Rhinolophus ferrumequinum: one gene and its partners. The protein of the gene in region 1 interacts with the protein of each later gene in a pairwise test. Links are inferred from orthologs where the notes say so. Each region holds a gene or a part of one and is shown on either strand. Other genes may lie near its edges. The genes, in order: DRAP1, POLE3 and NFYB.

Region 1 (10,712 bases):
CAGGGCAGAGGAAACAGGATCAGCCAGGCTCTGGGGCCTGGAGGCTGAGCTCTCAGTGTGCACGCGTGCTCCTGGGTGTGCATGTCTGAGTGTGTGTGGTGTCGGGGAGGGGGGTTGGCAGACAGGAAAGGGAGGCTCTGACTCGGGAGAAAAGGATTGGGGTTTGGAAAGGAGTCAAAGCCCTAGAGAGGAAAATTTTGGCGGGAATGCTTCGCTGCCCTCTCCTGGCCTCTGCCGGTTCAGCTGATTCTTTTTTTTTTTCCCTGTAGGAACCAGCTCTCTCCCTTTAGCCTGGGAGGAGCCAGGGCACGGAGAACTACAAGCCTGTTTTCTAAGGTTCCCAGGGGCCAGAGCTGCTCAGGGACCAGGGAGAGAGCTGCCTGCTGCAGAGGTGTTTACAAGTGCTCTTGGGAGATGTGGAGGCTACCGGAGAGTTTCTAGCCTTGACCATGGCCAAATTCCTTAACCTCTTTCTGCTGCAGTTTCCTTCTCAGTAATATGAGGGCTGTGAGGACCAAAGTGAGGACAAACTGCTTAGAGTAGAGCCTGGTGCAGAGGAGGACTGTGTATGTGGTTGTTCTTACTGAGCCTCAGTTTTTCCATCTAAAAAATGGGTGAGAAGGAGGTGCTCTTTGTCTAGCTGTCACTTTGGTTCCAGTCTCTGGTGTCATTCCCCAGAAGGTTGCCCCCTATGCCCAGCCACCCTGCCTGACTCTGTCCCTCTGTCCAGCCTGGAGGGGGTTTTCGTGCCCTGCTGGGAGGCCAGTCATCAAGGAAAGACGGGGGTGGTGGGTTTCTGGGCTGGGTGCCCTCAAGTTACCCCTCAATGTCCTGGGGAATGCATGTCAGAGAAGTGGGGAGTTTCCCTTCTGCGATGAATCAGCTGTGTGACCCAAGTCTCATCCCTGCCAGGGCCCCTCCCAGCAGGCGGCAGTGGGGCGCAGTTGCCCTGCTGGGAAAATCCCCAAAACCTAGCCAAAGCTCTGGCTGAAGCTTTCTCCTGACTCAGCTGTTTCCTGTCCACCCCAATTCAGCACCTACCCACAGCTGGAATCCAGAGTCAGGCAGAGATGATCCCCATTTTCTGGTCTGCCCCTTTGGGAGCCTCCTCTCTGGGGCTCGGGGGTTCGCAATGCGATGAATGTGAGTACCTCCTTTCCCTGGCCTCAGCCATCCTTCCCATAGTTTTATAAAAGGGAGCAGAACACAGGGGCTTGTCCAAATTGTCCCAGCCTAGTTCACCCTGGACCAGGCCATTTCCTTACTCCCGTGTAGGAAGGGGTCAGCCAAATAAGGCAGAGTGCCCTGGCAGGCTGAGGGGGTGGGTCTTGGGGAGTCCTGGGCCTGGCAGGGGAGCAATCCCATGATAGGCCTGTAAGATCCTTCCTGTCCAAGTAGGCTTAGTCAGTGTACTCTCTGGGACTCAGTTTCTCTACCAGTAAAATGGTAATCTTAGTCTTGGCCCAGCCTCTCTCCCAGGGGGTTCTGAGGACCCAACCTGCGTACTTTACAGACTCCAGAGGGGTTGGCCAGAGAATGGGGAACGTCTCTGCGTCTCTGCCAGACTCTGGATTTCAGCTGGGTCCTTGCTGGCTCTTTGTTATCTTTGCAGCCCCTGCACCCCAACAGCGCTTTCTTATAGTGGGGACTCAACAATACATCAGGTGCTCTGGAGTTGGATGACCTGGATTCAAATCTTGGCTCTGCCACTTATGGCTTTATAACCTTGAACTAATTACTGAACCTCTCTGGTCCTCAGTATTCTCTTCTGCAAAATGGCAACTATAATAGAGCCAGATGAGGCTTAGAGGAGGTAACACACATGAACACTTAGCACAGTGCCTGGCTCATGTGATGAATAGAATGAGGAAACAGTCACAGAGACAGAGAGTAACTTTTAATCAATCCCTCATTTATTCAATAATGTTGATTTGGCCCTTATGCTAGGCCAAGGTCCTATGCTGGACGCTGAGGGATAAAGCGCAGCCACTGTCCTTGAGGGGCCCAGACACTCAGATGAGAGCCACAGGTGGGTGGGTTTTATGGGAGCCTGGGGTGCACATGGTTGGGGAGGAGAAACCTCCAAGAAAATGAGCCAGTGGATGGTGGGTCTGAGACGTGGAGTCAGCCAGGAAAGCAGGCAAGTGTCACATACACCAAGCAGAGGACAACATAAGCAAAGGCACAAAAGTGAGAAAGGCCAGACTGTGTGCAAGAAAACCACAGGCGGCTCTTGATTCTGAAACAAGGGTGAAGCAGGGAACGGAGGAGAAGGGGCCGGAAGGGCTGGCAGGGGCTGGATTTGAGCTGTTCACGCTTTCATTCATTTAATAATTTATGGAGAGATTACTCTAGCCGAGTACTGTGCTAGGCTCTGGGAATAGGGCTGAGATTCAGACATTGCTCCTGCTTTCACTGTGCCCTGAGTCTGGGTATGTGGCTTATGGGCCCACGAGAGATAGACGTCAATCAAGTGATCACATAAGCCACCTGTCCTCCTTGCTGCACGAGGTGTTTAAGCCGTAGGAACAGCCTGAAGCTCAGGGCTGTGTGCCAGGGGCTGAAAGAAGTGCCAGTTAGCTCCAGTGGGGTGAGCATGGGCAGAAAGGGGTGCTTGAGGGAAGCTGGGGCAGTTGGTCATGGCCGGCCCAGGAGAGTGGACTGTGTACTGCAGGCTGTGGGAGCCACAGAAGGGCTTCCAGTAGGAGGGACACAGGCAGCTCTGCGGGAGAGCTGGCTGTGGGGGCAAGAGGGAGAAGTGGGAGGGGAACAGGGCAGAGGAGGCAAGTTGTAGCGCTTCGCAAGAGAGTGAAGAACGGCTAAAGCAGGGCCATGAGGCTGGAGAAGGGGTGTGTGAAATGCTCAGTTATGGAAGGAGAACCAGGTGGTGTTGACAGGACCTGGGCATCTTTGTGGGACCCCTGAGGGCCTGGCCAGGATCTCCCCAAGCCTTGGCCCATTCTGGCCAACTGCAAAGCACTGACAGTCTGAGGGAGGCAGAGCACCAGGATCCAACTTGCAGACCACCCAGCTCTGGGGACTTCCCAGGGCTGGGCTGAAGGGGGACTGAGCCCTGGGGAAGCTTGGGGTGGGGGCTGAGCGAGCATCTCATGACTCACCCACTTCCACCCAGTCAGCCCAGTGGCATCTCCGCTCCCCTGCTCCAAATTCCAATTTGGTGAGGCTGCTTGAGGCTGAGTCAGCTCCGGCACGGCACGAGCAGCATCCCAAGGGGCTTCCTGCCAGACACCCTGGCCCAAAACCAGGCATGGGGTTGGGAGGGTGCAGAGTCAGGCTCTGATGGAGGCTCCAGCAGCCTAAGTTGAGGGGGGTGGCCCAGAGAGATCACGTGGGTGGGTTGTGAAGGCTCACTGTGGGTGAGGCCAGGGACCACACTCTGCCTGAGGAGGCAGGGACCAGGGTAAGTCCTAGCTCTGCTCAGCTCACTGCATGACGCTGAGGGAACTCCCTTCCCCTCGGCCCGTTTCCTTGAGCACAGAATGGGACCAACGTGTCCTTCTCAACAGGTTGTGAGAGTTAAGTAATGCATACGGGAGTGCTTTGCAAACTGTCCAGTGGGCCCTGTGATGGCCAGGATGGTGGAGAGGTGAGTATAGCCAGCTGGGATTCCACGGTTACTTATGGTTGTGCAGATTGTTTGCTGCACAAGGATGTCCACCCTACGTTGCTGAAATCCAGCCCATCTGCTCACTCACCAGACCATGCATGTGCTTTGACATAGGAACTGCCAGGACCAAGAGGATACCTTTCTCTTATAAGCACAAATACACCCTGTGGGTTAGTAGTGGCCCCTTGGACTTTGCTGGGCCAAACCCCTGGATTTATGGGAAATCACTGAGAAGATGATTCTGATTCTTGGGATGAAGGCGAAGCAGTGCTGGCTTTGCAGAGGCTCTCAAGAGAGATTCCCAGCCTTGGCAGTAAGGTGTATCTTATTACTGGGGGCAGTTAGGAGGGCCCAGTCAGGGCGGAGAGGCAGTCTCTCCTGGCCCTGCCTCTCTCCAGCAACCAAAGCAGGTAACCAACAACATGGTATTTTAAAAAACACTCAACACACAGACCCAAGCTGGGTTTTATTGAAATGCCAGGAGCAGGCACATGGCAAGATAGTGAAGGGAAGGTAGTGCAGGCTGTGAGGTGGCAGGGAGGAGCAGACACCATGTTCATGGCCCTGGCATCCCCTCTTTCTGCCAGGGGCTGAGTGGCCCCCCCTACCCTCCCCCCAAAAAAAAGGCATGCTCAGGCCTGCAGGGCCTCTGCCCCCCGGGCTGTGAAGGCTCCAAGGAGAGGGACTGGAAGCACTAAGTTTTCTCTTTTGTGAGGAAGAGGAGAATGCAGGAGGAGGGGGAGGTACAGCCAGGGATAAGGGTGGCCAAGGCAGGCTCTCTCCTGGGTGTCTGTACCCAGCCTATGGTCCTGGATGGCAGAGCAGAGCAGCATCGAAGAGAGAGGCTGAGGGTCCGGTCCTAAGAGAGCCAGAACCTCCAGCAGGTGGGGACTTGACTCAGCCCTGAACAGAGGGCAAAAGTTCAAGGGGATCGAAGATGCAAGCAGTTCCCGAGTGACCTAGTCTTAGAGCTGTGGGACATGGCCTCCTTGGGACGAGGAGGAGGAGAAAGACGGGAGGATCCATCCCTAGCAGGGGGTACAGAGGGTGGTCTCCCCAACTTGGCCCCACTAGGTCAGTTCCACATTGTTGGCACGGTCCAGCACACGGGAGCCACGAGCATTGCCCCCCAGCTGGAAACGGCTCTCATAGAGAGTGGGGCAGAGATGCCAGCGGTTGGCCCGGTAGATGCCCAGGTAGGTGTAGACATCAGGCTTGTAGGTGAGCAGGCACTTAATGCCTGCTGCACGGATGGCTGCATCTGCCTCCAGCACACCCAAGCGGTCCGTGAAGTCGTCTGTATAAACACAGATGACCTGGCGCCCACCCTCCCTGGCCCGTGGGCTCACCTTGGCCACCTGAAGCCGGCCCTCGACCACAGCCCGAGCAATGCCAGCCCAGGCATGGTCCAGCTTGAAGCCAGGTGCCAGGTGCATCAGCCACTTTCCCGAGAGCACGTGGTGGGTGATGGCCAGCTGGCGCAGGGTACCTGGCGTGACGGGCCGCCCGCTGGTCTGCAGGGCTTCCCAGGCTGCCTGCAGGCCCTGCACATCACCCGAGTTGGGGATGTAGCCCTGCCCATACGCTGCAATCCAGCCCACGGGCTCAGAGTTGGGTGAGCTAGGGTCCCCGTAGCGAGTAACTTGGGATGGCGGGTACTTGGCCAACCAGGCATCTAGCTCAGAGGCAGGTGTGGTGCGGGCGTCAAACACCAACCAGGGGTCCATGTCAGCTGCCATGGCCTCTGCAGCCAGATGCTCAGCAGTGAAGCCATCCTCACGGCCACCTGGAGAGTCCTCCTCCTCCAGCTCCTCACCTGACTCCATCCTGCTGTGAGGGAAACAAAGTTCGTGACAGATTTGCAGCTTGCTGGGCCCTAGCGGGTGCCAAGCATTAGACTAAACTGTGTGGCCTTGGTCAGGATTTAAAGTCCTCGTGCCTCAGTTGCCTCATCTTAACAATGATAACAACTGTTCCTGGCTCAATGCGCTGTTGACAATTAAATGCCTGAGGTGGAATAAGCACGACTGAGTGTTATTGCTCATGTTATTTCTACTCTTCCTGACTTACAGACAAGAAACAAGCTCAGAGAGAAGGGACTCACCCAAGGTCACACCTATAGTGAGCGACAGGGCCTAATTGTAAATTCAAGTGTGGGTGCAACTGACCCAGCTACACCTCCTGGCCCTGCCAGTGACTGGCAGGTATCCTGGGCGCTGGCATTTAATGCAGGGAAGCGCAGGAGCCCCCGTTCGCTCAGCACCGAGGCAGGCCCTGCAGGGCAAGTCCTCCCAGGCGGGCGTTATCTGGCCCACTTAAAAAATAAGGACACTGAGGACCAGAGAAGGCAGTGACGGGTCCGAGGCCAATGGGGCGGTGCCCGGACTCGAACCCCGGCTTGTTAGAACCAGCGGGAGGGCCAGCCTCTGGCCCCGCCGCGCCCGCCGCCATTAGCGCCCATCGCAAGAGCTTGGCTCCCGCCCGACTCTGCCCCCTCCCGCCGCCCCGCCGTCACCTTCGGCCTTCGCTGCGTTCGGCACCGACCCAGCCCCGCGCCTGGCTCCGCTCCTGCCGGGGCTCCGCGCCGCCGCGCCCCGCCCCCGCCACGGCTGCCGCCGCCGCCGCCATCTTAGCGCCCCGCCGCCTCAACAACAACTTTATAGATAGACAAGCGCGGCACGGGGCGGGGCCCCCGAGCCAGAGCAGCCGCGCCGCGGGGCGGGGCCGGCCACTGAGGGGGCGGGACTTGGGCGGGGCTGACCCCAGGGGCGAGGCCATCAAGAAACCCAGGAGGGGCGGGCCTGCGGCGGGGCGGGGCTAACGTTCGCTCTTCTGGCCTGGGGGCGGGCGGGAGTGGCGGTCGGGTCCCGGACCGACGCGCACAGCCCAGGAGGTTCCGAGGGGCGGGCACTCGGACCCTGCGAGAGGCTGCCTACCGGCGGCGCTAGGACCCCGTGGGGAGCGGCGGGGGCGGAGCGGGCGGCACCAGGACCCGGGGGAACCTCGACGGGCGGGTGGCGAGCAGGCCCCGGGGCCGGGAGGCTGCAGGCGGCGGCGCTGGGCCCGGCGCGGCGAGAGAGTCCCGGAGATGCCGAGCAAGAAAAAGAAGTACAACGCGCGGTTCCCGCCGGTGAGCATGTGGCTGGGCCCGGCAGGAGAGGGCCCAGCTCCCGGGAGGCTCGGGCCCAGGCCTGCCTGGGGGGCGGGCGCATCGCCGTGCCCCGGGACCCGGACGCCCCGCCCCCTTCTGTGCCCTCCTTGCGTTGTTGCCCCCCGCCCCCTTTCTCCCGGGATACCCCTCTCGCTCTCCCCAGTACCCCATTCTGGGACTGAGGCGACGGGGTCCGACCTCTCTGCCTCCTCCCCAGGCGCGGATCAAGAAGATCATGCAGACGGACGAAGAGATTGGGAAGGTGGCGGCGGCTGTGCCTGTCATCATCTGTATCCTGTCGGGGGCTGGCCGGGTTGAGGGACGTGGGGGAAGGAGGCAGCCGGGGGTCGCCTTGTGAGGGCTGGGACCCCACTCCCGCGTTCTCCTTGACGACTCTGAGCCCGGGCGCTTGAGCTCTTCCTGGAGTCGCTGTTGAAGAAGGCCTGCCAGGTGACCCAGTCCCGAAACGCCAAGACCATGACCACATCCCACCTGTGAGTGGCTGCGAGCTGGAAGAGCCCAGTGGGGCCCTGTCCCAGGCGTTCACACACTTAAGAGAGCCTATGTCCTGATGGGGAGGTGGGAGGCTACTGGGAGACCAGCAAGGCCTTAGAGACTGGTGGTTCGAACTTGGAGAGGAAAGGCTGGGTGTTCCAGCAAAGGGAGGAAGTCGGGTGGTAGAGGTTTTCCAGACTCCATTCTCCTAATATCCAGAGCTTCTTGCTGACCCTTGCTGAGAGAGCAGACATCTGGGGCCCTGCCAGATGCCATCCCCGCCTCACCTCTTTCAGGAAGCAGTGCATCGAGCTGGAGCAGCAGTTTGACTTCTTAAAGGACCTGGTGGCATCTGTGCCTGACATGCAGGGGGATGGGGAAGACAACCACATGGACGGGGACAAGGGTGCCCGCAGGTGGGGAGTTAGGGCCGAGTGTCCAGGCTGGAAGGCCAAGGCCACCAGGGATGGAGGGGGTTGGGGGGTGGCGAAGGAGCAGGGACACCTCTGAGCAGATGGATTATACCTTCCCAAAGGGGCCGGAAGCCAGGCAGCAGCAGCCGGAAGAATGGTGGGATGGGAAACAAAGGCAAGGACAAGAAGCTGTCAGGGACGGACTCTGAGCAGGAGGTGAGTGAAGCCCCCAGCCCTCTGTCCTGCCTCTTCGAGCCGGCTGGAGGCCTGGGCCCACCCTCACCTGTGACTTCACTGTACCCTGATTTCTTTGTTTTCAAATTGGGGTGATGGAGGTCAGCATCCTGTCCCTGCCACTCCGAGAGGTCTGGGGTTTCAGTGATGGTCCCATGCCTTTCTTGTCACCCCTGACCCCTGCCTTGCTCCCAGGATGAGTCTGAAGACAGTGACACTGATGGGGAAGAGGAGACAGCGCAGGCTCCACCCCAGGCCAGCCACCCCCCTTCCCACTTTCAGAGGTAAGCAGCTCAGTGGCTCCAGGAGGGGGCCAGCAGACTCCCCAAGGCTGACTTGTCCTTCCTGGTCACTTGCTTCTGTTGTTTGTGGCAGATTTGGGGGATGGGAAGGGAAGAACTGAGGAGGGCTTAAAGACAGGAGACTGTACTCTCAGAAAGTCCCTTCCCCACAGTGGATGGGGCCTGGGCAGGGCCTTTGTGACCTGCTCGGGCCCTTCCCTTCTCTGGGCTTGGCTCCCATTTGGTACAGAGGGTGGGGGGCTCCATGCTGTCTGTGTGGAGGGCGGAGTGGGGCTCAGGGGGTCGGAATGGGCCCGGAGAGTGACCTGATTGCCCCTCCTGCTTTCTGCCCTGCAGCCCCCCAACACCTTTCATGCCCTTCACCTCGACTCTGCCTCTGCCCCCAGCACCTCCGGTTCCCTCCGCACCTGACGCAGAGGATGAAGAAGATTATGACTCCTAGCGCCCTCTGCCCCCCAGGCCACACCCCCTTTTAGTTGGTTTTAGTTGTTCTGGGGGGAGGAGAGAAGGTAGAGCTGTTCTTAAATTTATTAAAAAAATAATAACAAAAGGGAACATCAGTGTCTGTCCCAGCCTCTGTCTAGGGCTTTGTGGCGGCCTTCCCACCATTCCACCTGAATTCCTCACACTGAGCTGGGGCAGGAGCAGGGGTGGGCCGGGCAGCTGCTGAGTGAAAGGAGGGGCTGGAGGCCACGGGTGTGCCAGCGCAGGACCAGGGGTGCTGAGAGAAGGAAGGTGGACAGAGTGGTGTAGGACCTGAGCCAGCAGGTGCCGCTGTGCTGGGGGACAACCTATCTCATTGTGCTGTGTGACCCTGGACAGGTTCCTACTGTTCTCTGAACAGCCTCTTGTCCTCTGACGGAGACCTTTTTGTCCACTGGGGGCTGCAACTAAGGGACAGACAGGACGAGTAATAGGAACTGGAGAGCTCTGAGCCTGGTGCCATGAAGGGTAGAGGAAGGGGCAGCAGGAGCAGAGGTAGGTGGGATGGTTGTGGAGAGTCTCGAAGGCCAGCTTGTGATCGGGGCAGTGACACAGTTCGTCAGTCCATGGCCATTTCTGAGCGGACCCTGAAGCTGCAGTGTCCACGGAGGCAGACGTGTGCTTCAGGGAGCAGTGGCTTGAGGCTGGGCAGGAGGCATGGAAAGCAGTGGGTCAACTTGAGTGCTGATGGTTGACTGGACAGGGCAGAGAGGGAGGGAACCCTCAAGGGCTCTCAGGTTTCTTTCTGCAGCAGCTCGGGCAGGGGCCTTTTCCAGCTGGGGGACATGAGGTAGAGCGGGAGTAGGCCTGAAGATGACAAGTTTGACTGTGATGAATTTGGGGTGCCTGTGAGGACGCTGAGGAGAGGTGTGGAGTGGACACTTGGACACGGGCCTAGAGACAGATGTGTGAACTTTGAGAGTAGGTGACTTCACCTCGGGAGAGAGGGGCAGCCCATCAGAGGAGACTGAAGAGCAGCCAGACCCAGAACCCCCAGGAGCCACTGGATGTGCCCACCCAGGGGGCTCTGGGAGAAGGGACAGGCCAGTTGTCACACACCAGGACACATTGCAGGCTTTAGGGAAGCCTTCCGCACAGCTGCCTCAGAGGCTTGCTGGTTGTTGATGAGGCAGGGAGAGCTGGAGGTGAGAAACTGAGGTGAGCTGAAGCAACACCGCTCAGAGCTGTGAAGTGGAGAGGGAGCAGTAGCTCAGTGAGGAGCAGGGAGTTTCTGTTTTTGTGTTTTAAGAGGGCAGATGCAAGCTTGTAGTGAGGGAGGGGATGTGGGATAGGAGGGGAGAGAATGGAGTGAGGTGGGGGGTGCCCAAGGCAAACCCAACCTGGTGAGGGAGAGGGCGGTGAGGAGGTTTAGGTGGGAGGACTGCAGAATTCAATTTTCACCCAAGATATCTGACTTCTGTGAATTAGGAGGCTGCTGGCAGGTGTGGAAGGGCCCAGGGCAGCTGGAGCTGGGGCATGTGGGTCCTGTCTGCCTCTCGTGTGCTCCCCCTCTGGATATAGTACCTCTGCCTTCTTTTGGGGAATCACCTTTTCTGTACTCCACCTGCAGTGTGTGCAGCAGACCCCACTTCCTGGGGTGGAGGGATGGGAACATCACCAGCCTGGCCAATCACATCACCCACCACACTCGCTCTGGCCCCAGTGAGTGGTACAGGCCGGTCATGACCACTGGGACTTTAGATGGGACCAGTGGGAAGGGGTTTTGACATGATCGCTGGCTTCCCCGTGGCTGGGAGAGCAGCAGGGAACCCTCTGAGGAGTCCAGGTGAGGGTGATGGCGGCCATGCTAGTGTAGCAAAGCTGGCGGAATGTCAGCCGGGTGCTGCTGGAAGCTGCTTCCAACCCTGAGGGGCAATTCTGACTGAGAACAAAGCCAGCACAGTAGAACCAGTTGGCGCAGAGGCACAGTCGTCTGATGACATCTGAACACCTGAACCCAGTCTTGCCTGAAGCCTTCATGCCTTAGGCTTCTTAGTTACGTGAGC
Region 2 (9,989 bases), on another chromosome or scaffold:
GGCAGAACGCTAAATAAAGGCAAACATTTTATTCCTATTAGTAAAGAGAAAAATGCTGAGGAAGTACCTTTTGCAATCTGTGACTTATGTTGGGAGGTCTATTCGCATAGTTGATCAAATCTTTGTCAGGTAAATCCATCCAAGGTCTAAAAAATGAGAGTTTCCGAACATGCATCAGAGACACAAAGACTCCTTGGGGTGATAAAGTCAGTGCTATGAGGAACAGCCTTCTACTTATCTACAGAAAGCCTTGGGCTCAAGACATCAAATGAATGGAGGGTCTTGCCAGCTCCTTAAGTTTTGTTTGTTTGTTTTTCCTGGAACAGCTCCCAAACAGACACTGCATATTGCAAACACTTTAAAACTATTTGTTGCATCAAACTTAATTCACGCCTATGTCTCTCTCTCTCTCCAACTACCGATAATTACATCACATCAATAGAATTGTAAGTCCCTTCGATGCAGATGTTCAAAAACATGTTAAATAAACAAAATGTGGTATATGCAAAGGAATATTTCTCAGCCTTAAAAGTAGTGAAATTCTGATACCGGCTACAACATAGATCAACCTTGCAGACATTATGGTAGGTGAAATAAGCCAGACACAAAAGGACAAATATTGTACGATTCCACTTAGATGAGGTACCTAAACCAGGCAAATTCACAGACAGAAAATATAATAGAAATTATCAGGAGCTCGAGGGAGGAGGGAAGGAGGAGCTATTGTTTAATGGGTACAGAGTCTCTGTTTGAGATGATGAAAAAGTTCTAGAAATGGATAATGGTGATGGTTGCACACTGTGAATGTACTTAATGTCACTAAAGTGTACACTTAGAAATGGTTAAAATTGTAAATTTTATGTTATGTATATTTACCACAATAAAATAATATTGTCCCCTTACATTTTTATATCGCTTGCTATTTTATTTATTAAAAAAAAAAAAAAACATGTTAAGGGGCAGCTGGATGGCTCAGTTGGTTACAGCGCGAGCTCTGAACAAAAGGGTTGCCGGTTTGATTCCCACATGGGCCAGTGAGCTGTGCCCTCCACAACTAGATTGAAGACAACGAGCTGCCACTGAGCTTCTGGAGGGGCGGCCGGATGGCTCAGTTGGTTAGAGCAAGAGCTCTCAACAACAAGGTTGCCGGTTCAATACCCGCATGGGATGGTGGTCTGCGCCCCCTGCAACTAGGATTGAAAACAGCAACTGGACTTGGAGCTGAGCTGCGCCCTCCACAACTACATTGAAGGACAACGGCTTGGTGCTGATGGGCCCTGGAGAAACACACTGTTCCCCAATATTCCCCAATAAAATTTATAACAACAAAAAAAACACGTTAAATGTATAAATGAATGACTATCGCAAAGAAGCATAAGATAGAGACCCAACTCTTTAGCCTGATTTATGAAGCCCTACATGATTTAGGCCCCTGCTTTTTCTTTCCTTTTTTTTTTTTTTTTTGAGGCCCCTGCTTTTTACTCCAGCTCCTCCAGCCTCATCTCTGACCACTCTCCAATTCCTGGTCCATGTTCCAAACACACTGAACTATCATGTTTCCCCGCAAACAAGACCGGATCTTATACTAAGGTTTGCTCCAAAAGACGCATTAGGGCTTATGTGCAGGGGATGTCATCCTGAAAATTCATGCTAGGGCTTCTTTTCCGGTTAGGTCTTATTTTCGGGGAAACACGATGTGTTTCTGACACCTAAAGAATTTCCTCTTGCCTCCTGGATCTTGCATGTGCTAGTTCTGTAGTCTAGAAGTCTCTTCCTTTCTACCTCCCACCTGCAACCCCTTCTTCACTAAACTGCTCTAATGCCAGGTGTAGGCATAGATGCCACCTATATGGAAGACAGTGCCCTGGGTGCCTCCACACACCTGGGCAGGCACTCTTCTCACCACACTCATTACAATGAACGATTCTTTACTTCCCCGACTAGGCTGAAAGCCCCTTGAGGGTAAAGGCTGTTATCTTGTTTACCACTGTCTCTCCAGTGGAGAGCAAAGTGGCCCCCACTAGGACATATCTGGTAATTCAATGAGTGACTAAAAAATGATGCCATGGGGCCGGCCTGGTGGCTCAGGCGGTTAGAGCTCCATGCTCCTAACTCCGAAGGCTGCCGGTTCGATTCCCATATGGGCCAGGGGGCTCTCAACCACAAAGTTGCCGGTTCAATTCCTCGAGTCCCGCAAAGGATAGTGGGCTCCGCCCCCTGCAACTAAGATTGAACACAGAACCTTGAGCTGAGCTGCCTCCCGGATGGCTCAGTTGGTTGGAGCGCATCCTCTCAACCACAAGGTGGCTGGTTCGACTCCTGGAAGGGATGGTGGGCTGCGCCCCCTGCAACTAGAAAACGGCAACTGGACCTGGAGCTGAGCTGCACCCTCCACAACTAAGACTGAAAGGACAACAACTTGAAGCTGAACGGCATCCTCCACAACTAAGATTGAAAGGACAACAACTTGACTTGGAAAAAAGGCCTGGAAGTACACACTGTTCCCCAATAAAGTCCTGTTCCCCTTCCCCAATAAAATCTTAAAAAAAAAAAATGATGCCATGGTCTTTACCTTCAGAGACCCTGACTGGGAAAAACCACTACTTTCCCAGGGCTCACCTCAAGTCCTAGAGAAACTGAAAGTAGTCCTACCCTCTCCTATACTCTTTAGCCTAAGAGAAATCATCCAGGGATTCCTTAAATCGAACAGGAAACAAGAAATCTCTACAAGGGCCACCACTAGTGCTTTGATTCCAGACAACAAGGTCTTCATATTTTAAAAGTCTAAGTTTTCCACAGATATCTTAGTTTCATATATCAGAAAACACCAACTGGGTGACTACATTCAAAAGGGAGATTCAAAAGGAAAAGCCATTGCTTCTGACTTCAGGAATTTACAAACAGTTTCATACCTAAAAATAAAAGAAAGACAGCATGCATAGACAGTTTTCTGATGACCTATAGAAGTTGATGAGATAAATATTCCCTGATATGGGCTGAATTGTGTCTGCAAAGTCATTTGCTGATGTCCTAACCCCCTGTACTTCAGATTTTGACTGTATTTGGAGGTAATTAAGGTAAAATGAAGTGCTACAGGTGGGCCTTCATCCAGTATGACTGATGTACATGGAAGAAGAGAAGATTAGGACATGGGCACACACAAAGGGAAGACCATGTTAAGACATAAAGAGAAGATGGCCACCTACAAGCCAAGGAGGGCTCAGACGAAAACAGCTCTGCCAACACCTTAATCTTGGATTTGTAGCCTCCAGAATTTTGACAAAATTAATTTCTGTTGTTTAAGATACCCAGTCTGTGGTACTTTGTTAAGGTAACAAAGCAAACTAATACACCTCCCATTTTAACCAATTCCTAGAACACAAATAAGAATGCTTTCTTTTAGTTTCCAATTGCTTATTTACCACTTCTTTAACTGAATCGATGCTTTATTTTTAATCCAGCTTTCTCAAAGTCTACTACGTGTATAAAGGAAGTCAACCCCAAATTTTGAGATAATAGGCCCTTAAAAGACGATTCCATGATAATTTACCTGCCTTGAAATTTGGAGTCCAGTTTTGACCTCTGAGACAATAAAGAGTGAGGCTTAGTGAAGGTAAATTCTGATAAATGATGATGAGCATGTCTCTTGGCCGGAAAGCAGGAATCTGAGATGTTTACAATGGTGAGCACTGGGAGTTTGTCTGAGAAAGCAGACCAGAAGAAAACATGTAACATGCCAAAAAGGAACCAAATGGAAACAGTTCAAAGATCTTGTAAGGAAAGAGACAAGGGTTGGCTAATTCACCATTAGCATCCAGAGGAGCTCTGCAGGGTGAGCCCAGGATTCGAGGGTGGCCCCTCTCAATTCGGCGGATAGTTGCCCAGCATTGTGGATGCTGACAAACAGCCAAGTTACAGGTGGTTTCATCCCACTGGCTCTCATCTGGCAAGTCCATAGTTATGAATGGTTTAGGACACAAGCCAACCTTGCAGCTTTTTAGCCCTCTGGAGAGACAGTAACCACATAATTAGGGAGTATTATATACTAGCCATGCAGTCCAGATTTTAATTTGGACTCAAAAGTATAAAATATTTCTATTGAGTCCATATAGGCAAATGGTGGTCACAAAATAATTAAGAATAGGGTAACAAGCAAGTATGAAAACATCTCAGCATGAAGTAGAGTGTCAAGAGTTTGGGAGCAGACTGACTTTAGAAGGTCTCCTAATTCACCATTTAAAAGATTCGTTAGTCTGAGCCTCCGTTTCCTCATCTGCAAAATGAGAATAAGCCTATTTCACAGGGTCATTACAAAAAATTAGTTAATGGATATTAAAAGGTCCGGTATACAGTTCAGAATGAATATCAGCATCCTTTCCTTTTCCCCTTCATTAATCACGAAGGAAATGATACCATCTCCAAAAAGCCTTATCAAATCACAACTAATGTAGTCACAGAAGTGCTTTTACATGGCTCAAAACTTTGAAAGCCATAGGCTTCACTTTTCAAATGCTCCAATTTTCATACAGGCAGCTACCCACCGGAAATTAATAGGTTTGCTCAAACAGCAAATCAGTAGACAGACTTGCAGTTGCATCAGAGGCCATTGGCTTTTCATTTACTGTCTGTAGGGTCTTGGACAAGTGACTTAACCTCTTAGCCTGTTTCCTCATATCGAGGACAAGAAATCCCTAAGCAGGATTGTAGAAGGATTAAATGAGATCATGTACTTTTAATGTGTGACAATATAATAGGTGCTCAATAAATACAATCATCTTTCTCTCTCTAAAAATGTTTTAGGCAATCATTACCACCTGGTCCCTAACAACTTTTTAAGGACAGTGTCCATTTGTACTTTCTTTTATCCAAGATGTTTATTATTGACTACCAAATATGTGAGGGAACCTGTATAAGCATGGAAAACAATAAAAACAAAATAAGTCTCTGTTCTAAAGAGCTTATAATTTAGACCAAAGGTAGCAAAATATTGGTCTGGGATTGCACCTGGTCTGTGTCTTGTTTCATTTAGTCTTCACTTTGGGCCATTATTTCCATTTTAAAATGGAAATAATCCATACTGTCCAGATTTCTGGCTCCTTTTAGCAATCAAAATATCTGACAACACAGGGGGGCCCAATTCCAACTAGACAGCAATTGACTGAAGCTGAGCATCTCCTGACAGCTTTAAACCAGGTCTGTCCCATCAAAGTGGAGAGTTTTCCCACCAGACCCTACAGTTTCTAACCGAAGCAGTTTCAGTTGCCATTTATCCTCAAATTCCTGTTGCTTTTCTCATAATAGGGAAATATTTCTCTATACTCATCAAAAGCAGGAAAACGAAAGGGTGACTTGGGATCTCTTTCAAGAAAAAAAAGCATTAGTACTCAGTTAGGAGTGAGGACAATTTCTACATACATAACATGAAAATGATACAACTTAAAAAGCCACTGTAAAGCTGTGGTAATGTTTTTGACTGGGAAAGATGTTTTATGAACAATTTAATCAACTAAAAAACCACAATTTTAACAGGGTTTGTTTTTGAATAGGAATGTGATGTTGCCGGCTGCTTATCGACCTTTCCTTACCTGACCAGCCCGAATTGGCAATGCCCCAAGGTCTGGTCATGCCCACCTTTATGTTGCCAGCATTGCCTCTGCGCTGGCTAAATAGATTGCCTTCAAAAATTCTAGGTAGCAGTTATCCTTAATACTATTACCACCAAGTTGGGAGGGGTGTAATGATTAAGGATGGACATCAGCTCCGCTAAGAGTTGAAAAAGAGACTCCCCGCTTCGTTCCGGAAAAAGGGAGGGGAGAATTCGGCCTCGGAGGGTCGCGGTTCCGCGGAGTCAAAGCAGATGCCACACCGCTGGGAGGCCGAAGCCCACTGGGAAAACCTTGCTCCTCGCGGGGCCGGGATGAGGTCTGTGAGCCCCGCCCACCAGGCCCCGCCTCCCGCCCCAAGGGGCCCCGCTCCGCCCGCACCGTCCTCGCCTCCGTCTCCCGAGCTAGCCGGCAGGCTGCGCTGTCGCTAGGCAGCGGCGCACGGTACCCTGCGGAAGGGACGGAAGCCCCAGTGAGCCCGACTTAATTTGGTGAAAAAGCTCCACACGTGGTGGTGGGTGAAGCGGACAAACGAGCTTGGGAAGGGACGCCGAGTGTCAGTGGGGCCAGACGGAAGCCCCGGCGGACCGAAACCATCGGGGCGTGGAACGTTCGGCCGCGCCAGCGACTTGAGGCGGAAGCGCGGCTGCTGGAGGAGGGAGGCTATCGCGCGCGGGGCCGTATGGGACACGATGTGGGCAACGTGGGGCGGGACGGAAGCCTCGTTGGGTCAGACCGTGGCGACGCGGGAAGTCTGGACGCCGTAGCTGCCTAAAGAGGAGGCCTGAGAAGGAGGGCCGGTCCCAGTGGCGGCAATGGCGGAAAGGCCCGAGGACCTCAACCTGCCCAATGCCGTCATCACCAGGATCATCAAGGAGGCGGTGAGCAGCTGGACTGACGGTTGGGCCAGGGGCGGACGGACGGGCAATGGGGGAGACAGGTCCTGGGCCCGTAGCTTTGCTCACCCCCGCTCTTCTCGCAGCTCCCGGATGGTGTCAACATCTCCAAGGAGGCCCGGAGCGCCATCTCCCGCGCCGCCAGCGTCTTCGTGCTCTACGCCACATCCTGGTGAGGCGGGCAGAGCTAGCCAGACCTTAGCTGTGACATAAGGGACTGTGACATAAGGGAAGCGCAAAGAGACTCCCTGCGCCCGAGTTTGTGGCTTTTAGCCCACAAACCCCAATTACTATCCTACCTCAGTGGAGGGAGGTTCACAGCCTTCATCCACTTTTTGCAGGATCTGAAGCAAATAAAACAAAAAATAACTTCGCTTTAACTTTCTTGTACAGGGAAAAGGGAGTTACCATGTCACAAAAATCCGTGCATCTAAGACATGGGCTTTCCCATTCCACCCCTGGGTGCTCCTTTTTCTATCTGATCCATAAGTGGCAAGGGCGAGTCTGGTGACCCTTAATATTTCTCTTCTTGTTTCAGTGCCAACAACTTCGCCATGAAAGGGAAACGCAAGACACTGAATGCCAGTGATGTGCTCTCAGCCATGGAAGAGATGGAGTTCCAGCGGTTCATTACCCCGTTAAAAGAAGCTCTGGAAGGTAATGACCATTTTATTTTCTCAGTCAAATAGATAGATGTTCATTCCGTGTGACCTTCTCACCTGGTCCTAAGTCTTTCTGGCTTGGATCCCTTGAGTCCAGTAAGCAAGTATTGGGTGTGACTCAGAACCATTTCAGTTGGACCATCTCAGGTCTTATCATTCTAGCAGGTAATTTTTCCGTCTGGGCCTCAGCTTTTCCAGTTATACACAGGCGTTAACTGCTGCCATCTGTGTGGTTCAGCCTTGCCTCCTAACTCCCTCCTTCCTCCTTACAGCATATAGGAGGGAGCAGAAAGGCAAGAAGGAAGCTTCGGAGCAAAAGAAGAAGGACAAAGACAAAAAAACAGATTCAGAAGAACCAGACAAGAGTAGGGATGAGGATAATGACGAAGATGAGGAAAGACTGGAAGAAGAAGAACAGAATGAAGAGGAGGAAGTGGACAACTGACCAGGGTGAGGAGACTGTGGCACCTTGGAAGGTACCACTCAGGAATGTGCTGTATGTTTATATGAAGCTTTTTCCTACTGGGCAGAGCACTCTTAGGCAGCAGAGCCTGAGACCATCGAAATGAAAACTGGCTCGAATTACCAAACCGGCACTTCCCAGACTCAGAACATCTGAGTAGCAGAATCCTGTTTTGCTTAATTGGCCTGAAGGTTATGACTTTTTGGCAAGAGGGATCCTGAACGGATAATTTCATCAATCAATTTGATCTCTCTTGTTTATTTTTATATGTGATTAGGCAGGTTTTGATTCTCAGTTCCTTCCATGCTTACCCCACCAAAAATAACAACTTCCATGCCATGTGCTGTGTTCCAAATCACAGAGGCAGCCAAAGGCTCAGGAAAAATTGAGGCTTAGATCATGGTCAGCCTGCTTGTACAGTATCTGACAACACTAGCTATTACAAGTGGTCAGAAAGGCTTAGCTTTGGGAAACTGCTGAAAGGCTATGGGAGAACAATGGAATCTGTGATCTTTACTTGACTGTCAACATTCATTGGATTTTGGTTTTTACAGACCCACTTGGCTTGGGGCCCTTCTGTATTGCCTGCAAACATTTGACCTGTTGGTGTGCTGCACTCTGGGAAAATATGCTTTTAAATCAGCATTGTAGAGTGGAATTAGTCAAGCAAGTGTGCCAATGTCTAACTCTTAAAAAAACAAATGGTTGGTCTTAGATGCACCTCACTGCCTTCCACTGTACAATGTTAGGATTTATTGTGACCCAGAAGGTAAAAATCCCAGGTTTTTCTCTTACAGGCCATCTCCCAGACTTAGGACTATGGCTTTTCATTCTTCCAGTTCGTGACAAGTTCCAAGCTTTATTTCTTCTAGGCACAGCTTTCTCCTGTGCTTCTCACTTCCTGTCTCTCTCCTTCCTTTCCTTTGCTCCCCATTCCCGTTATCTCCCTTCTTTTCTCACTTCTGTCAGTCCAGAAACTTGAGTAATCTGCTTTATATCCCAAAGTACAGGTTCCTCTGATTTCTTAGGTCCAATTTCATGTCTTTTAAAAATGATTTTGTAAACCTCCTGAATCTTCAGGGAAATCCGATGGTGCTCGAGAATCTAACCCCCCACCCCCATTGCCAAACCATCCCCTTTAACTATTTGTAAAATATCTCTATTGACCTTTCTTCATTTTTTTTTCTCTTTCCATTTAGTGCTTCAAGCACTTTTTTGTCTCTAAGAAGGTTGACAGGTGTAGTTTGACACTTAATTTGTGAAATGAATACAGTGAAAAGTTGATAAATGAGTGAAGAATGTTGAGAAAATTGCAGTGCTTTGTACAAATAAAAAACATTCTTGTTAAAAGTGATGACTACTCTTTCATGCTTCTTCGTAGTATGCTTTGGGGGAAGACCCACTGATCACGCCCTGTACAGTTTTTGGACTGTGGACTGGGCCAGACCTTGCTAATTATGGGATCCTGCATCACCTTGGATGACCGGCAGGGCTGCTGTTTCCCAGGCAAGGGAGGCTCTGTCCCTCAACCACAGCGAGAGAGCTTTCCATGGCTCTGCAGGGCACCCTGGACATACTAGATGTTCAACAACTCCAAACATTTATTGAGTTCCTGCTATGTGTCTGGCACTCTTCCAAATGCTTTCAAGTATTAACTCTTAAACCCTATGAAGGCTCACTGCTGTTATCGTCATGATCCCAACTCTAATGCTGTATTACCTCTCTAACCTACATAGACTTCTCAAATCATGGATTTATAAATAACATTCCTCAAATATAAACCCCAACAGTCATTAGATCCAGTGGCCTTTTCCTTCTCCACGGCAGAAACATTTCTTAATTCCTATGAGCACCACTCCTAAGCCCTCAAGTCCCATCTGGACTCCTGTGGCTTCCTTTGAGCTCAGTTTCCTGCCTCATCTCAACTTCCCCTATGTACTGCTTGCCAAGTGGCTCTTCCTGGAACATTTCTGTTACAGTCCCACACTGTTTCCTATTAAATCCATACTTAACCCTGTTATTCAAAGCCTGCTTAAAGAGGGCTCGCCTTACCATCTGTTCTAATCTGCTTCTACTCCAACATAAAGCTGTAGTCAAGAATGAATTCCCAAAAGAACTCCCTTTCCACGTGGCTTTGGTTCTTACCAAACTTTGACTACCTAAGAAAAGTCACGTTTGCTGAAAGTAAGGACTGTGACTTAAAACTACAGAATTTAAGAACTGGGAAGAATGCGGTCATCCCTCAGTTTTTCTCACCTCTATCATTCCTGTAGTGGTATCTGGATTTTGAACATTCCTTATTAGACTAAGGTAATGTTTCTCATCATTTTTAACCATAGCCCTTGATGCCTCGAGTTTCTGAACT
Region 3 (10,242 bases), on another chromosome or scaffold:
CCTGGTCCCAGAGGTGGGACAGAGTTCTGTGGCCTCCCATTTCCTCCCCTTCAGGTACCTTGCCGAGCAGTTTCTTCCCCTCCAGGGCTCAGCCTGCCTCATCACATCTCCCTCAGAGGACCTTTCCCTAGAGTCCCTATTGGTATTAAATTTTACAACCCTTTTATTCCTTCCCCAGGCACCTCTAATCCACAATGATGATGGGTGTTACAGATCACATTGCGTATAAATTACTCCCATAGCTGGGTAAACCAGGTAACCTTTAAAGATGGCATGATTCCACTGTAATAAAAAAATATTAATAACTATTACACTTCTTGTATTCACAGTCATTCTTAATTTTGATTTCTTTTTCAGTCATCCCCTTCTCAGTAATTATAACAACAACAATAATGACTAATGACTGTTGGCCATTTTTGAATTTGCCATGCTCTCTTCTCAGTTCTTTATTCTAACTCATGCCTCCCAACAACCCTAAGAGTTAGGTTGTTATCTCCAAAATGGATGAGGAAAAGCATCACTTTGCAGGTAAAGAGATTAGGACATGCAGACATTATGTGTAGCCTGTGAACCCAAGGTCACTCAGCTGGTAGTTGATAGTACCAGGATTTTATACTAAGCAATCCAGCTCTAGAGCCTGTCCCACCTTCCACTCAAGTTACCCAAGCCAACCACCCAAGAATAAACCCTATTTATTCACTATTCCTTTTTTGGCACTAAAATGTTCTACCTCTAAAATGTATTGCCAACCTATCCACAACCTTCCATCTCTCTATTTTTAACACTGCCACCATAGCAGAAACCACCATGGAGCTCATCAAGAAATGAGTTTTACTAGAGCAGGGACTTGATCTTGTTCCCCACTTTCCCCCCAGGGCTGGCTGACCTGTTGTAGATATTCAATAAAAATGGACTGAATAAATGATTTTCTAACTGAAATCAACAAGCATGCATTGAGCCCCTATTCTGTTTTTCAGAGAAAACTGCTGACTTTCAACATATTTACTTGCAGGTTTTCTCTGTTAGTATTCATATAAATATAAACTTACAAAATCGGGGTTGCATTATATATCTTTGTGCCGTTTGTTATATTCTCAACATTGTATTCTGAACATCATCCCATATTATTAAAAATTCTTTAAAAAATTTAATTGCAGCATAATATTTTATTTTGTGACATACTTTATTTAAACATTTCAAATTGTTAGACAATTAGGTTGTATTAGTTATCTATTGCTGTGTAACAAATTACTCTAAAACTCTGGCTTAAAACAAGAAACATTTCTTATCTCGCAGTTTCTGTGGGGTAAGAATCTGGGAGTGACTTTGGCTCAGGGCTTGGTTCTCGAGGCTGCAACCAAGCTACCAGGTGGACTGCTGTCATCTCAAGGTTCAAGTAGGGGGAAAGACCCACTTCCAAATTTACTTGGCTGTTGGCAGAATTTGGTTCCTTGCTGGCTTTTGGCTGGAGACATGTTTTCATTCTCTCTCTCTCCCTCTCTTTCTCTCCATATTTATACACATACTTAAAGACACACCTATATCTATATCTATTTACACATCTATCTATCTATCTATCTATCTATCTATCTATCTATCTATCTATCTATATATCTATCTATCATCTATCCATCTAATCTGTCATCTATCCATCCATCAAAAAGTTACCAAGACAGCATTCACAGTCTCTTTGTAATCTAGTGTTACCTGCTGTACTCTATTCATTAGAAGCAAGTCAATAAGTCCAGCCTACACTCCAAAAGAGAGGATTATACAAAGGTGTGATTATACCATGAGGTGGGGATCATTTGGGGGACAGTTTAGAGTCTGCCTACCACATAGCTCTTCCCAAAATTTTTCTACTATTAATAGTAACAGTGCTCTTCTGAATACCTTATTGCCTAATTATCTTATTAGCTACATTACAAATGATCTCCTTATAATATATTTATTGACTAGAAGAATAAGACATTGTAAAGGCTGCTAACGCACGCTGACTAATTGCTTTCTAGAAAGCTTCCCATCATCAGTGTATGGGAATGTCCATCTCAACACATCTTCATCATTGTAACATTTTTTGCTTATTTGATAGGTTTCTCCTTTTGATTTGCACTTGTATTTTGTTTATTAGCCATTTGTATTTTTTCCTTTTATGAATTTTCTATTTTATGTTCTTTGCTTATTTTTCTATTCGAGATTTAGTGTTATCAATTTGTGTGTCCTTCCATACAAAGATATTAACAATGGGTAGGATTTTTTGGTAACAATTTTATTGGGATATCATTTACATATCATACTATTCACCCATTTAGCGCATATGATTCAATGCTTTTTAGTATATTAATTCATCTAATCCATGGAGAAATACTGCTGAATGATTTGAATATTTTGATTAACACGTTATAATAACTTGAGGAATTTTAAATATGTTCATTAACTCTGTTTCTCTGGAGAAAGATAACTCATAAGGCTTTGGTAATTTCATGGTCATTTACATTATCAATTAAAATATAGTTTTTTTCCAATGCTTGCTCATACATTCATTCCACGCATGCATATCTATGGAGCTCCTACTATGTGCCAACTACTGTTCCAGGCACTGAGAATACAGTGGTGAAAACAAGGTCTTTGTACTCAAGGAGTTTATATTCTAATAAGGTGAAATATTAAAAATCCATTCATTCAACAAATATTTATTGAGTACCTACTCTGTGCTTGGGATGCACTAGTGAGCAAAACAAGCAAAAATTCTTGTCCTGATAGAGTAACTTCTAGTGGGAAAAGACAAACAATAAGCCATGAACAAAATAAGAGGAAAGTCTATAGTTTGTTAGAAGGTGGTAAGTGTTATTGAAAAATAAAATAAAGCAGTTAAAGGAGAGTGGGGGTAGTTAGTTGAAATTGCAATTTTTACATAAGGGATCAGGGTTGGCTTCATTAAGAAATGGAAGGAGATGCGAGAGTGAACTGTGAGGACACTGAGGGATGAAAAATCTGTTCCATTGGCAGGTGGAACAGCCAAAGCAAAGGCTCTGATGCAGGAGTGTTCCTGCCAGAAATAAGGACAAAAAGGAGTGGACTGAGCAAAGGAGAAACTAGGAGGAGATAAAGTTAGAGGGGAAGGAGAGAGGGGACAGATCATAGATCTCATGAGGTCACCATTCATCTCTAAAAGGAAACAAAAAGTACTGAATATATTTCTTGCTAAGCAAAGGACATCTGCATTGTAAGGTAGAATATCTCTGAACAAAGAAATCTGTGGTCTTACATAGTGTTTTGGGAACACTATGAGGTTCAGGGAGTAGCACTTTTAGAAGCTGGATGGTTTAGGGATGAGCTGACAGATAGCTAAGGAAGCAAGATTACTGGGGTGTAGCTATTGCTGATTGGCTAATTTCCAAAACAAGGGGCTGTCCCTGATTGGGAGGTTGTCATTGATTGATTAATTAACATACATTCTGGTGATTACTTGTACTGTGGCCAAAGAACAACTAGACTTTTTCTTCTACTTTGAAGGATCACATGCTGGCTGCTATGTAGGCCAGGGTGGAAGCAGAGACACAAGTTAGGAGGTAAAAGGAGATGTGGCTTGAACCACGGTGGTAGAAGTGGGGGGTAATAAGAAGTGTTCTCATTTGGAATATGTTTATAGTCAACAAATAAACAAGATAATCCAATTAAGCTAAGTGTATTGGAGTGAACATAATATTTACCTTCACATAGGATGATACGACTGGATGACATTCTAGAGAGTAATGAGGTGAGGCTACTTTAGGAGTCAGAGAAAGGCTCTTTGAAGAGGTGAGACCTCAAAGATGAAAAGAGGCCAGTTAAGAGCTTACAGCAAGAACTTGGTGTGTGTGTGTGTTTGTAGCAGAGTCAACATGAGTCTGTCTAGAAGGTGGGGGGTGGGGGTGCGGAGAGAGGCAACCTAAAGCCCAGATCCTTCCAGGCCTTTACTGCATAGAATGGATTGAGAAGAAAGGGGGCAAGAGTCAAATCAGGAAGTTGGAAACAGGGACAATACTATAATAGACACTGTCATCACGGGACTATGAGGCCTCATTAAAGCAATAATGTAAAATCCAGCTAAGTCTTCATTGTGCCCAAGATTCTGGTTTTTTTGTTTGCCGAATTATGACTCATGTAATTGGTGGTATAAACTAAGGGATAGCTGTAGTGTAGGGACTGGGAATAAAGAAAGACCCCTCTCCTCTGTCCTCTGACTTTAATGCAGGATCTAGATTAGCTATAATGTCTTTCCCAAGACTAAGTTGTGATCCACATCTCTCTTACCACGTGAGCAGGAAAAATGGTTAACATTTATTGAGGCTTTCTGAATACAGGTATAAAAGGACAGGTTGTCCTTGGGATTCAACTGCAGAGAGGTTGTGGACTAGGTCCCCGTCACCTAGAATTAGCAACCGAGGGTAAAGTGAGTGCTTTGTTCACCTTTACAGCCTGGGGCTCCTCACACAAGTGCTTGGTAAACAGTAGGAGCTGAATAATCTTTTGTTGAATCTGAATTAAGCATGTAGGTTAGATCAACAGTACTGAAATAACATATTAACTCAGAAAACAGTCATCTTTGCATCGTTTGGTTCACTATCCAGTGTGTGGATTAGTCATACTTCTCGCAATTCCGCTACTGCCTTTTTTTTTTTTTTTGTATTTCCTGCTTTTGAGCACATCATTTCAGTCCTAAAACTCCACTTTATAGGTAATCATGGAGAAAGGGAGAAGTGAAATGCAGGCCAATTTTACTCCTGTTTTTTTTTTTTTAAAGCAAATAAGTTTTTAAAAGTTTGATGAAGATTAAAAATCATGTCCTATAAAGATCTTTAGTAATAAGCCAACTTTTCTTTAGTGCTTTCTATGTGTATTATGTGTATTGACTTTATGTTAATTCCAAACAAGCCTAAGAAGTAGCTAGTATTACCTCCCTTACGGAGGTAAGGAAACTATCAGGAAGAGGTAAAGCAATTTGGCCAGGATCACAAGTTGGCAAGAAGAGCTGGAATTCCAAACAGGTCGTCTGATTCCACAGTGGCACGCTGCTCCGTACTACTCTTGGAATAATTTGGAGACTTCATTTGTCTTTGCTTCCTTCATTGCTCCAGAAAAGTTAAAATATGTGGAGAAACAGTAGGAGCCCTATAAATAAAACACGTCTATATATTTTTAAATGATTAAAGCTAGAAGGATGAACGTGGCACCAGCCCACTTGTTTAGTGGAAGTAAAGGAGATTCCCGGCTCCCTTTGCAGAAATCCTGCCGCTCTTTGCAGCGAGTGGCTTCTGGCTCATTGCCCATCTATGATGGTCTCAGCCCAGGGAAGTAAGTCCCACCCAGACTGCAGTCCGGGAAAGTCAGTGAAGGAGCTTGGCTGCACCGAAGCAAGAACGGGCCACGGATTCCTGCAGCCTAAATGTCATCTGGTTGGGAAAAGCTACATGTCAGGTTGCAACTACTATGGAGGTGGCAGGAAATGCAACATTTTAAGTTCGGGGTGAAGGATGGCTCGACTGACGAACTTGTTAAACCTGAGGGAGAGGATTGTATCTTTAGATGAAATCCGAAAAAGCGAACACCGGAGCTCAGTAACCAAGTCAGAGGGAGCGTTGTGCATTTGGCAAAGTTAACAGCGGACGCAAGGAAAACACGAGGTGCTGAAGGCGTTCCAGGAGCTAACTGCCTTTCAAATCCACCCAGTAGCTCGGGTGTCGTCCTGGCTGGCGGCTTCTGCCCTTGGTTTCCCCTTCTTAAAAAATCGAGGCGCAGGCAAGCTGCACTCAGGCGGGTGAGACACTTCCACGTGGGGACGGCGGGGGCCTTAAAGAGAGGAAGACCTGAGAAATCACGCTTCGCAGAGGCCTGGGGAAAGACCGTGGGAAGAAAGCCCGCGGAGTCCTTAGCAGTGCGCCGGCTCCTGGCCCTTGGAAGAAGCACCGGCTCAGCAAACAGGCCGCTGCCACCCAAAACCTGCCGCGCGTGGCCCACAGCCCGCTCTGCAGGATAGCGCAGGGGTGGCCGCAGGGCTCCCGGGCCTCGGGCGGGGCCTCAGCGGGGGCGGGGCGGGGGGCGGAGCCGCGGCCGGCGGGAGGGCGCGCGGCAGGCGCGGAGGGAGGGTGTCGAGCCGAGGGAAGCGGCCCGCGGCGGAGGGAGGGGAGGCCGAGTGCTGGAAGCGGAGCTCCGCGCTGGGACTGGTTCCTTCGCAGCCATTTTCTGTCCAACCAAACAGCCGATTGGAGACGGGAGCCAACCAGGGCTGCATTGGAGGTTTGTGTCTCGCTTCGGCCAATGATCGCTCCTAAACCGACTCCACTTTAGCTCGAATGAAATGTCCGTCTCCTGCCGGCGCCGTCCCCGCCGCCAACGCCGCGGCGGCCGGGGGCACTCGCCTCCCTCCCGCCCGCCCTCCCGCCCAGGTCGGGGCCGGGGCCGGTTCGGCGTCTGCGAGGCCGCTCCCGCTGCGGGCCCGGCCGGGAAGCGGGCGCGGGGCCGCGGTGCGGCTCTTTGTGCGCGGGGCCGAGGAGCGGCGGGACGCTGGCCAGGCCGCCTCCCGCTCGTCGCCGCTGAGCTCCGGGCCGGAGGCCGAGAAAGGGGCGCCGGGGCTCCGTCGGGCCCCCCTCTCGGCGGCGCCCGGACCAGCTCCATTTTGCGTGGGGGCCTGCCGGGGGGGGCGGGGGACGCAGCTCCAGCCCCCGATCCCGACCCTGTTCCTTCGGCCTGGCAGCGGAGCGGGGGTCCCTGGGGAGTGCCCCCCTTCCGCCCGCGGGGGCATGGCGGGGCCGGGCCGCTTTGTCTGTCCCGGCAACCCTGGCACCGCCCGGCGGGCGGGCGGTAGGCGTTGGGCGCGGGCCCGGGGCCTGGGCCAGGCGTGTTGGGGGGATGCGCGCCAGGGGCGTCCGCCGGGCACAGGCGGGACTGACAGATCGGCGGGGCAGTGGGGCTGGGGCCAGCTCGCGCACCTTCGTGGGGAGGTAGCGAGGTCCCTGGGAGGAAGGAGTGGATTTGGTCTCCCCGCAGTCTGGTTTACACGTAAAGAATGCAACCATCTGGCGGCTTGCGGTCCCTGGACTTGCCCCGAAGGTGGGAAGGAAGCCTTTCGGATTGGACTAAGGTTTAATCTTGGATGGGAGGCGGGGAGGATATTCCGGGCCTTAGGAGCAGTAGTCTGAGAGAACAAAGAATTACAGAGCACCCACAAGTCGTGATCTCCCCCAAAGTACTGTAACAAGATAAATTTAAACAAGCTCAGGTAGCATACGACCTTTAAAAAAACAGCATCCCACTATCCGTCATGGGCTTCTCAATTCCGTGGTTCATGCTACGAATCACGGGTGGTTTGGGCTCTCAGTATGCAAACTGATCAGCAACCTAAAGTGATAAGGTAAACCAAACAATATAAGTGACATTAATAAATAGGGGTTTTATTTGTAAAGTATTGAAAGTTTCATCAGAATTCCTTAAAAGGCAATTATTGTTTCTCCCCACTGCTCTTGTAGCTTAATTTAAGGATTATTATTGATGCAAAACTCTGGTGGGGAAGAATGGAAGGTGGAGGAAGGGTCCGCTGCATTTCTTGGATACAAATTTGCATTTCTTGAAACCTTAAACAGATGTATGGGTTCCCTTGAGCTTTCTCACATGTATCATAACCTGCCTTTAAGAAAATATATACCATATGAGATGGTAGTGTTTTTCTCTAATATACTGAATCTAAATAAATACTCAACTGTTTGGGTGAGTGTGGTGAGGTGTGACTCTTCCCCTCCCCCAAGCAAAATACATAATATATACAGCTCTTATAAGTATTCTGAGGAATTTGTTTTTTCAAAGACATGCTTAACAAATAACACGGCTATAGGGAAGGAATTTGGGGGTTGGAGGACAATATTTGAAAAGAAATTAGAAATTGCTTTTACGATCATAGCAGGCAATGTCAGCCTGCCTTTGCTGCCTCCACCCTTGAAGTGGCTTTTTAAAAATTCAAATCAGTGGCTACAATTTTTCTGCTGTTTCCTAGATTTCATGCTGGAATGCACGTGTAGTTTTTCTTTCCTTAAAATTAACACTGAAAGGATGCTTTTTGACATCCCCCCCCTTAATTGTTTCACTTGAAAAAAAGGAAAAGAGCAAATGAGAAATGGAGATTGTAATTGATACCAATTTATTCAGCTATGTACAGTGAGAATGAAGAGCTAATGAATGTAGTTTTAGTCCAAAATGGTGGTGCTTTAAAATTATAAATAGAGGTCTTAATTGATTGTGTTTGTTCTATATATGTTCTTCATGGTTATGGGGCAGCATGGTTATCTTCTTCCCAGTATAATCTGAGATATTCAATGTAAAAGCATTACATTCCGAGGTAAATTTTTCTCTTTTGAGGTTTTGGACCCCTGAATTGCACTCTAAAACATTAATAAAACCATTCCCCCCAAATTCAGTTGGTAAGTGGGGTGTTTGTGCCTTGGGTGTTAATATTTTAAGTAATATAGATGTGTAATTTTTGGTCTCTTGCATATTATATAATTTGATGTGTTGTGATGAATATTTATGGGGAGCATGACTAACTTCAGGGTTATGTTGGAAAAGCCATTCCCCCACCCTCCGCAATGGAGTCAACTTTTAGAGTTCAGTTCTCCAAAATGAATCTTCCAATTCAACACACATTTATTGGGTGCCTGCTTTTTTGCACCATTTTATACCACGCACCCCATTGAATAAGAATAGTAGGTAAAATTATGTGTGCCTTTAAAATTTTTACTAGGAAGAAAGCCTGTAGGCTGTACATTTTTACTACTAATAGATGTTTATCTTCTAGGTTGAAATTGGGCAACGATTAGACACCATTTTAGACAGGTGTTCTTGAACGCCACTGACAACAGTATTTCATGACAGTAAGTATGTTTTACCATTTTTGGTTGTTAATTATATTTGCACAGTAACTAGCTGGAAACAAAATTATAACTGAGTTATGTTGGAGATTCCTGATAGAATGACTGCCTTTCAAGTCTAGACAGATGGTACCTATGCTCATTCCTAAAGCTTCCTTCTTTTTAGTGACTTGCATGTAGTATTTCCTAAGGGCCCCTAAGTGCTGGCAAAGCTACAGGGTAAAGCTTATCCCAGCTCTTAAGAGGCTTTCTGTTTATCTGGTAAGACTTTAGTCGAATTAAAAGAGGACAGTTATATGAAGAATGGAAAATGATGGTTCTAAGGATAGTAGTACACGTGAAAAGCAGAGGTGTGGAAGGCCGGGGTAGTTGGGAATGTCTTGGACGGAGCCTGTAGGCCTCCAGCTGAACCGTGAAGGATGATGCCATTTGAATAGGTAGAAGGTGCGGCCAAATGTAAAAGCCTGAAGGCAGGGACGAGTGACTTATGCTCAGAGGATGGGAAGTAGATCTTCATGGTCCAAGTGGGGATTTCATAGGATAATCGAGTGAACAGATACCACTCGGCCCCTCTGGATGCTCAGCTCTAGATCTGCTACTGTGATGTCAGGGCTGTCACAGCTTCCTTGAGCCCTGTTGCCTCACTGCTAAAATAAAAACTGCACCTGGTGATCCATAAGTAAGGCACATAGTGGCACTAAGATTTTATTACACTTAAGATAGAGTTGAAAACAAGATTCGGTAGGTTAAGTGGGGGATCCACTCTTGTACAGCCATGAAGACTTGGTCGCATTTGAAGACTTCTAGAACCATTATAGGTGTAACAGCTGTAGATGTTTTAGTAAGATTACTCTTAAAACAGTATGTTCTCAGGTAAGTTGGGTAGTAATGCAGTGGAAATAGAAAAGGAAGGGCATATCCGAAAGATATTTTAAAAGAGGTAACAGATTAGGTAGATCTTGGAGGAGATGGAAGAACGTAAGATGACACTGGTATAATTAGCCTGGAAGAGTGGAAGGATGGTTTTATTAATAGGATGGCCATAGTTGAAAAGGAGATCAAGGAGCTCACATCCATTGCCTCGTTGGAGGGGATGGAGAAGGTGAGTTTCATTTTCCAGTATCTTCCAGTATCTTCCGGCAATGATAGGATATCAGACATGTTCTACAAGCATACCTTATTGAGTGGCCAGCAGGATATGGTTATAGACTTAGGATTTATGAGCGTAGAAGTGATACTTAATGAATTCATTAAGATGGGAAGGGAAGAGAGAGAATACAATAACCTTGGATAAAAATAACAATTAGGAGATGGAGAGGAAAGAATAAACCCGGAAAAATAT

What was found.
Region 2: the proteins of DRAP1 (region 1) and POLE3 interact in binary tests that used the Homo sapiens proteins (3 or more experiments, as listed by UniProt). The two-hybrid records come from large-scale screens. The link is inferred for Rhinolophus ferrumequinum from reciprocal best matches to the Homo sapiens genes DRAP1 and POLE3.
Region 3: the proteins of DRAP1 (region 1) and NFYB interact in binary tests that used the Homo sapiens proteins (3 or more experiments, as listed by UniProt). The two-hybrid records come from large-scale screens. The link is inferred for Rhinolophus ferrumequinum from reciprocal best matches to the Homo sapiens genes DRAP1 and NFYB.

The regions. Positions count from the first base shown.
Region 1 is NC_046294.1:5,916,063-5,926,774, reverse strand, and holds DRAP1 (dr1-associated corepressor), read left to right. Parts: upstream 1-6,486; 5' UTR 6,487-6,716; coding exon 6,717-6,758; intron 6,759-6,996; coding exon 6,997-7,069; intron 7,070-7,179; coding exon 7,180-7,273; intron 7,274-7,570; coding exon 7,571-7,690; intron 7,691-7,809; coding exon 7,810-7,903; intron 7,904-8,116; coding exon 8,117-8,205; intron 8,206-8,559; coding exon 8,560-8,665; 3' UTR 8,666-8,778; downstream 8,779-10,712. Other genes in the region: C11H11orf68 (UPF0696 protein C11orf68 homolog), read right to left, coding at 4,699-5,458, 6,144-6,256. UniProt on the Homo sapiens protein: The association of the DR1/DRAP1 heterodimer with TBP results in a functional repression of both activated and basal transcription of class II genes.
Region 2 is NC_046295.1:65,273,933-65,283,921, reverse strand, and holds the start of POLE3 (DNA polymerase epsilon subunit 3), read left to right. Parts: upstream 1-5,980; 5' UTR 5,981-6,418; coding exon 6,419-6,484; intron 6,485-6,585; coding exon 6,586-6,671; intron 6,672-7,037; coding exon 7,038-7,156; intron 7,157-7,433; coding exon 7,434-7,606; 3' UTR 7,607-7,611; exon of another isoform or gene 7,612-8,978; intron 8,979-9,005; 3' UTR 9,006-9,989. UniProt on the Homo sapiens protein: Accessory component of the DNA polymerase epsilon complex. Participates in DNA repair and in chromosomal DNA replication.
Region 3 is NC_046293.1:15,777,234-15,787,475, forward strand, and holds the start of NFYB (nuclear transcription factor Y subunit beta), read left to right. Parts: upstream 1-6,140; 5' UTR 6,141-6,279; intron 6,280-6,955; exon of another isoform or gene 6,956-7,393; intron 7,394-8,490; exon of another isoform or gene 8,491-8,735; intron 8,736-8,827; 5' UTR 8,828-8,897; coding exon 8,898-8,903; intron 8,904-10,242. UniProt on the Homo sapiens protein: Component of the sequence-specific heterotrimeric transcription factor (NF-Y) which specifically recognizes a 5'-CCAAT-3' box motif found in the promoters of its target genes.